Linked DNA regions of Neurospora crassa OR74A. The protein of the gene in region 2 interacts with the protein of the main gene of each other region in a pairwise test. Links are inferred from orthologs where the notes say so. Each region holds a gene or a part of one and is shown on either strand. Other genes may lie near its edges.

Region 1 (4,579 bases), on a different chromosome or scaffold from region 2:
GAGCAAAAAGCACGTACGCACACGAACACTCTTGCAACAAGCAGACGCACAATCACACCGGCACCTGCAATAGTGTCATGGTCTCATGTGCTCCCGCTGTCGCCATCATGTCGTTGCAGCCTTTCATCTTTTGTGTGTTTTGTTTCGCTCGAGTCATTGCTCCCGCCAATTTAGGCAGTGCCCTTGACCTTGGCCTCGATCTGGAGCGGGTGAGTACCCTTGACCCAGGGCTCGACCTGGACGTTCCACTGTTTTTGCGCCGTCTTGACCAGCTCCTTGTAGGCCTCGAGGTACTCGGCAGGGTCGACCTTGTCGCCCTCCTCCTTGCCAGAGGACTTCTTGCCCTCGGGCTTGAGCATCACCACCGAGGTGGCGCGCTTGGTGCAGGCGGCAACGCCGAGGTCGGCGCGCGAGCGAATGTACAGGTAGGGAACGCCGTGCTCCTCGCACAGAATGGGGAAGTGCATGATCACGTCCATGGGCGAGATGTCGCCGGCGATGATGACGAGGCCGGGAGCGTCGGCGGGAGGGGAGGCGGCGGTCCGGAGGGGGCACTTCTTGATGGCCTTCTCGCACTCTTTTACGCCGCGGTGGATGGACTTGAGCTTGGCGCCTGTTTGTTTTTTTTAATCAAAAGTTAGCTTGGGTTCAGTACAAGTCGTGCGTGGGCTGCGATTGAGGAGCCTGGCAATGCAATTGGAGAGTAGTCACAAAACGTACCCTTCTTGATCAACTTGTAAATCTTCTTGTGGGTCTTGTCGTCGGCGAGGGGAAGGGCAAAGGGGACGAGGTCCTCGGCGGTCTTGACGACATCCTCAGGGTCGACGGAACCCTCCTTCTCGAGGTGAGCCTCGACGGCCTTGGCGAGCTTCTCGGTCTTCTCCTTCTTCTCCTTCTTGTCCTTCTTCTCCTTCTTGACACCGGCCTCCTCGCTCATCTTCTTCTCCTTCTTGTCCTTCTTCTCGGACTTGTCCTTCTTCTCCTTGATCTTGTCGGTGGCACCCATCTTGTCGGATTAAATGTGTGTGTGTGTTGTTGTTGGTGGTGGTGGTTGGGTGTGTGTAGATAAAGTTGGTGGTGGAGGGGGATGGGGTATCAAACAGGAATTAAAGAATGGTTATACAGACAACCACTGCAGTAAAGAGAAAAAAAAGTTACTGGGTTGGGGCGTCAAGGTATTTGGTATCGTGATGGGGCGGTTGATCGCAGAAATGGATTCTTCAACGCAGATTTTACTGGGTCCATCAAGTGACCCAGTCAATCAAAGCAGAGCGACGCGACCAAAAATTTGTAGGCCAATTGTAAAGCCGTTCCGCCCGGGGGCCGATAATGCAGGTGAGCGCCTGGAATTGGGTGCGATAAGAGGGACCAATTTTCCGATAAGCACGCGATAAGAGGAAATGTCTTAAACTTCCACCTTTTGCTTGGTGGGGCTTTCCATTCAGTACGACAGGGATTAGTAGTAGTCTTGAACTTAAACAAGGCCTGCTTCTAGCCTGCCGCAAACTGGCAAACAGCGGCAGTGCTTTGTCCTTGAAGGCCGGTTGCTTGCCTGCCCCACTAAATTTCTAGAGCTTGTGATACCTACCTCCAAGCGCATTCAGTGTGAGCCATTGACTCACCTCGACAATTCACTGGCAAAAAGTCCACAATCCCAAGCGACATTGGCCCAGTTCTGGAAGCTATTGTTGGAGAACCTTTTTGCGACCAGCAGCCTTGTCATTCCCCCCCGCCTATATCGATTTCATAGATATCCGTCCAGTACCATTCGTAAAGACCATACAGCCTCGAGCAGGGAACAGTCGCACTCTCACTTCGACATCACCTCCACAATACCTCAGTAGCACACAGAGTACTATACACAGCTCATCGCCATGGCGTCGTCGCAAATGAGCTATGCCCCCACGTTGGGCAAGCTCCTCAAGTCTCTCAACACTCAGCCCTTGGAGGCTTCTATCGAGGCTCTTATTTAGTACGCCTACGCCTGCTTCATATCTATCTTATATCAGATCCTAACATGGTTGGGCAGCCTCCTAAAACGTCGCCAAGTCAAGGGCGATGATGTCGCCAATGCCACAGCCCATATGCTGCTCCAGGTCGTCGCCAAGTCTAAGTGGCAGAACGTCGATCAGCTGCTCGCAAAGGTCTCCAACACCGGCCACAGACTTGCCCAAGCTGCTCCCACTGAGCAAGTCATCGGCAACGTTGTCCGCCGAGTAATGGGTCTTATTCGTGATGAGGCTTCCGAGGACAGAAATGCCGACGAGATGGGCGACTCAGTATCCGACCTCTCCCAGCTGCCCACAACGCCCACCATTTCCACAAGGCCAGGCCCCACGCCCCTCCGCGCCGCGACTCTCCCCATGTCCAAGTCCATGTTCAACCTTCTCTGCGTCTCAGAGACCGCACAGTCACCAGTTACCGGCGCATCTACCCCCATGTCCCAGGGCGCATCTGCCAACATGCATGCCCTACGGTCCGAAGTTATCGATGGCATCGAAGAGATTATGGACGAGATCAGCCAGGCGGACGACCAGATTGCGGGTTTCGCGGACATCCAGATTCACCCCGGCGATTACGTGCTCGCCTACCTCCCCTCCCCAACAGTCGAGAGATTCCTCCTCAAAGCCGCAGCAAAGAGGAGGTTTACCGTGTTCATCGCCAGCGCTGAGCGTCAAAAACCCGGCGAGGTGCCCCATGCTGCCCTACGGAAGAAGCTCAACGGTCTCGGGGTCAACGCCATCAGCCTGGCTAGCAACGGCTTGATGGCCTATATGCCTAGGGTGAACAAGGTCGTTATCAGCGCCAAGGCCGTATATGCGAACGGCGGTATTTCCACAGAGAGTGGGTGCAGTACTGCTGCTAGGGCAGCGCAGGAGTACTCCAAGCCCGTTATCGTTCTAAGCGGTGTTTACAAGTTCTGCCCCGTAGATCCGTCGGACGATGGGACCGAGTTCGAGCAGGGAGATTCTTCGACGTATGTCGACTATGCCGACGGTGAGGCCGTCGATGCCCTCGAGGTAGAGAACATCGTGGGCGAGTACCTGCCACCCCAATACGTCGATGTATACCTAACAAACCTGTAAGCCCTGAACCCATAATTTTGATGACTGAAGAACCCCAACACTAACAACTTTACAGTGGCCCCCAAACACGAGATCATCTTGCCACCATCATGGCCGACCATTACAAGCTCGAAGATATGGGCTTGTCTTTGCATCTGCCTTAGAAGCCGAAGAGAAAAAAATGAAGAAAATAAAAAGACGCGGTTAATAATGTATCATGCTGCCGGTCCAATGCAATACTCGTTCAAATACCTCTCGACTGTTCCTGGTTCAACCTGGCCGACCAATATGCGTTCCGAAAATACAACATCGTGCGTTGCATATATGTCAACTGAAGAGTCATATCTGTACCCATAAACTTGTTTGTTCCTTATCATCGTGCATATTTCGGTAGTCCCGATGGCGAGGTTTTGCGGATTCACCGGACTCAGTAGCTTTGGACGCTGGCAGAGGCTTCGACGGGCATGGTTAGATGGGGTGAAGGGACAAGATGTGTCGCTTTTTCTTGCTGGGCCGCCATCGAACTTAAGGATCTAGATGAGTGCAGTACAGCATCACGTAAGGATATCGTATATAAGCAGGAATCGGGGCCTCCGCTGCGGACATCGGATGCTGTTATGTCGGACTTCATCTGCGCGCCGAAATATATTTCCCTGGAAAATACATCTCCCTGCACAGGGAGTCTGACAGATACTTAAACTTGCCCATCCATTCTCTTTCCACTCGAATTAATTCCCTCTCTTTTTCTCGTCATCCGTCTACGTACTCGGTTCCTCGCTCCTTAGGTCATTTATCCACGTAAATCAATACATCAACGGCTTGTCCTTACTTCACGATCCTTCAGACACCGATACTTGTCTATCGCGTCCCTTTCTTCGAGCGGGAGTCATTCTCCGTCTTCTCCAGCTCCTTTTTCATACCATCCACGTGACTGTTTGGGGCTACATCCTCACGGTCTACGCTCGAACGGCCTACACACGTACGGTCTATATACCTACACTACACACAACCACTGTTCAAGACTCCTACAGTGCAAATCCCCACGGGTCATTACCTCCGATCATGATCCCATAGTCTATCCATCTACGACCTACATACCTACCTACGATCCGTACACCGACGGTCCAAAAACCCACGACCATCGTCCACATAGCTCAACCCGTTACCTCCTCGGGGAATCCGCTCCAACCTCAAATCATACGCTCGCTCGGCCGGATCGCGATAATCCAACCAGTCAAAGTCAACTACCACCAAAATGTCACACGCACGCTCCTCGTTTTTATTTCAAGTCCTCTCCCTTTCCACCGACACCCCCACGACTTCTTTCACTAGCCCCCCGCAAGAACAACCTGCCACCGCTGCCGCCGCATATCCTCCTCTCGGCTCTCCGAGAAGTGCACCCACAGACTGGCCCGACGAAGCGGAGGAGATAATCTGCTACTACAAAAAGATGCGCGAAGAAGGCAACTCACCCCTCCTTGACCCCGCGAGGGTACCTGATGATGTTTATATGG
Region 2 (3,630 bases):
AGCCAATAGTTCATCACTGCCACCAGCACCGCCACGGCGGACCGGCATGTTTCCATACACGGCGACGGAGAAAGACTGCGTGGACTCGGCGGAGTGCACGATTTGTCTGGAGGAGTTTGAGCCTGGGGTGGCCATGGCTAGGTTGGAGTGTTTGTGCAGGTTTCACAGAGCGTGTATAAGTGCGTGGTGGGAGAGACACCCGGGCAGGTGTCCTATGCATCAACATGATGGGTTTGGATATTGAAGGGCATTAGGGTAAAGGGCGAAATGAGTCTGATTATTGGGGTATGGTGGTGCTGTCTGGAGTCATGTTTCTTTTTTTTGTGGGATCTTTTCCTGGGTCCATTCATTGCATGTTGTCTCTCTCTCTCTTTCATCGCATGGCGGTTGTCTTGTTGGGGTTGACAAATCATTAAGATAGTACGGACGTGATTCTTAATTGGGCAAGTTCCTGACTTAAGTAGCTTACTCTAGGCTGGAAGGACCACACAGCGAAACTGCGTGTCGGATAGAAGTAATGTACGTCAGGCACTGGGGTTGATACTATTTGTGTTGATCAGGTTTTGGGGCTCATTATGCCATGATTCTCTTCAAAACTGCGCGATAAAGAATACATGGGGCTTTGCCCCTATGTTTACATGACCCTGACTCCCTGAACTGTCCGCTCCGCTCCGTTCCTGACACCCAAGTTGATCAAGTGGTACATAATTGTGAGACCCTTCTGTGTCTTTCCCTGAGACCATCATATGGAAACAGTTAAGCAGCGCCCTCAATACCCATCTGATCAGGGCCAAACGACAATGGGAGAAGCTAGATATATAAAAAAAATGTCAGGAAACCCCTTTTTGAACTCTCACGAGACGCCAAAGGTCGAAGGACAAGCAAGAACGAAAAAGGTAATAACTCACATCTTCAAGCCGCAAAACACTGAAATTCTCATCTTTATCAAACATGAGAATAGGCATGCTCAATTCGCAAAACTCGCGGATACTATAACGCATCAATTTGCAAAAGCCCGGTCAGTCAGCAAAGCATATCTATCTATCTTCCACCTTTTCTCTTTCAAACAGAAAGAAAGAAAGAAAGAAAAAAAAATAAACAAACAAAAAAAAAAAAAAAAAAAAAAAGGAAAAGAAAAAGAGGAAACACCGAAAAGGGCGTAGCTAGCTGTAGCATGGATATCAGGGGAACTCACAACTGCCTACACATGCCACAAGGACTAGCAGGCGGGCTGATATCCGTCGCCACTGCCACCGCCTTGAACCCGCGGTGTCCCTCGGTAATCGCCCTACCGAAGGCCACCCGCTCCGCGCACGTGGTCACGGGGTAGCTGGCGTTCTCCACGTTGGCTCCCGGCGTGTATGTTCCCTCTGATGATGATGATGATGATGATCTCTCTCCCGTGACGGCGGCGTTGACCTTGCCGGTGGACAGCAAAACGGCGCCGACACGGAACTTGCTGTAGGGACTGTACGAGGTGGCCTTGGCGGCTACGGCGCGGTCGCGCAGCTGGGCGAATTCGGAGGGGGTTAGGTTGTAGGTTTGGCAGGTTTGGGCGATGACGGTTTCAGAGTGGCCGTTGAGGATGGGTGGTGTTGGGGGCGCCATGGTGTGGTTGTTTTGGTGATGGTGGTGGTGATGGTGGTGGTGAATGTGACCCAAGTGTAGTGGTTATGGGGTTGGGGATGCCTTCTGTTTTGTGTGTGAAGAAGAATGGCTGGATGGTGGAAGATGCTGATCAATGAGAATTTGAGGAGAGAAAGAGCACTTTGTGTGTTGTAGTCGTCACCAAGTCGGTACAGGTAGGCATAAATTGTGTCTCGAGTTGAAGACTGGAAAAGTGTATCGTACAAACTCGCCTTTCATCCCTCCTCCCCTTTCCGTCCAGATTCTCCCGGGTCTTTCATTGTTTAGTACCTCGGGCCGTTCCCCAGACCATTGTTTAGCCTACCCAGGGGTGATTTCGGCCAAAAGACAGCGCATCCGACCGACTACCAGCGAGTAGGTGGTGACAACGGGGCGTGCCGACCAGCGGTCCCCGGAGAGCGGAGAAAGAGCGGAAGCTAGCAGGACGGCTACCCCGCCACCCCGCCCTATTCGTTATCTTATCTCTTAGACCTTCTTGCTTTGCCCTGCAAGCCCCTGTAACATCGGCGGTCCCTTGCCTATTGTGGGAACTGACTTATCTCTCAACTCAAAACCGCGGGTCATGAGGTCACTATCAAGAAAAGAGTCGGTCACCATTTCGGCATACCGCTTCCGGTGTATAGTTGAATATGTCCAGGTCAAAGAATGGGCAACCAGTCATTACTCTGTAACAGGACGTGGCATATGTCTTTTTTCATGCATTTTTAGATTTTTACAAAAAATCGCCGGTTAAAGACGAATGTTTTGAAAATCAAGATTGGGGACAGAATGGACGATTGGTTGTACTTCCGATATCGAGGTTATCCGAGATGTTGATATCGAGATAGAATACCGACACCGGATGTAGTCTTAATCTTAGCCTCTTTGTCAACTCGAGACCTCTGGTCAAGTTCCCTAGGCCTTTCATCCTATTAATACGTGTCGTTCCATATTCAAGAGCTGAACTATCTTGGCTTGCTTAAATATCCCAACTGCAGATATGTGATGTCAAAATTTATGTGTGCGTTTCCGATCAAATTCTTAAGCATATCCCATCCATACCTAATGACCTCAATGTGTCCTCATGATGTTTGAGGCAATATGGGACTAAGTTGCGATCAACAAACTGGCATTAGATTGTGCAGACCGGTTCTTTCACTGACGACAACTGCAAGTTTGCAAGTGTCTGGTCCAGACATAAAGCGTCAAATCTCCAACAATATATCTATTTTTTCAGTATATCAATACGGTGAGTCTGGCTTCTTTTAAACCTCTCAAGGGATGTATGTTCCCCAGGCGCAGTACTTTTCTATTCCCAAATTCCAATATCCCACGGATTTCGTCCAGTTTTTCGTCCGTTCGTTACCATAAATCCATCCCTTCCACCCCCATAACCTTTTATTTTGCAAAAACGATATCCTTCAACTTCTCCTTCTCACCACTCTCTTCACACATCCCCCTAAACACTCCACTCCCACCATCCTTTTCCCACAGCTCCCTCGGCGTTCCAAACTCGGCAACCTTGCCATCGCTCAGCACCAAAATGCGATCAAAATCAGCAATCGTGCTCAAACGGTGAGCAATAACGAGCAGCGTTGCATCAGTGAACTCCTCGCGAATAGACCGCTGGATCAACGCATCCGTGTGCATATCCACCGCCGAGGTGGCCTCGTCCAGGACCATAACTCTCGGCCTCGAAACGATGGCGCGCGCAAGGCAGAGGAGCTGGCGCTGGCCCTGAGACAAGTTGAGACCGCCTTCGGAGATCTGGGAATCCAGATTCTGAAAGATGTTGGTGTTCTTGTTCTGGATGCCTCCGGTGGCCGAAGACGATGAGGCCTCTGGTGCAGGAGAAGCGCTCCCGGAGTTGGAATTACTGTCGCCGACAAGGTGAACGCGCTCAAGGGACTCGCGCAGCTCGGCATCGGTCTGGTGGTTGAACGGGTCAAGGTTGGAGCGTACGGTGCCGGAGAAGAGGACGGGGTCCTGCGGGATGATGGCCAG

Evidence for each region.
Region 1: the proteins of NCU08359 (region 2) and NCU08952 interact in a two-hybrid assay, tested with the Saccharomyces cerevisiae proteins (2 studies listed by BioGRID). The link is inferred for Neurospora crassa OR74A from reciprocal best matches to the Saccharomyces cerevisiae genes CDD1 and GCD7.

Annotation. Positions count from the first base shown.
Region 1 is NC_026505.1:5,799,436-5,804,014, forward strand, and holds NCU08952 (translation regulator GCD7), read left to right. Parts: upstream 1-1,539; 5' UTR 1,540-1,874; coding exon 1,875-1,972; intron 1,973-2,029; coding exon 2,030-3,082; intron 3,083-3,141; coding exon 3,142-3,229; 3' UTR 3,230-3,889; downstream 3,890-4,579. Other genes in the region: NCU08951 (ribosome biogenesis protein Nhp2), read right to left, coding at 171-613, 721-1,006; NCU08953 (hypothetical protein), read left to right, coding at 4,321-4,579. UniProt on the Saccharomyces cerevisiae protein: Acts as a component of the translation initiation factor 2B (eIF2B) complex, which catalyzes the exchange of GDP for GTP on the eukaryotic initiation factor 2 (eIF2) complex gamma subunit.
Region 2 is NC_026501.1:5,632,282-5,635,911, forward strand, and holds NCU08359 (cytidine deaminase), read right to left. Parts: upstream 1,925-3,630; 5' UTR 1,609-1,924; coding exon 1,196-1,608; intron 991-1,195; coding exon 909-990; intron 811-908; coding exon 757-810; 3' UTR 536-756; downstream 1-535. Other genes in the region: NCU08360 (hypothetical protein), read left to right, coding at 1-244; NCU08358 (hypothetical protein), read right to left, coding at 3,025-3,630. UniProt on the Saccharomyces cerevisiae protein: This enzyme scavenges exogenous and endogenous cytidine and 2'-deoxycytidine for UMP synthesis.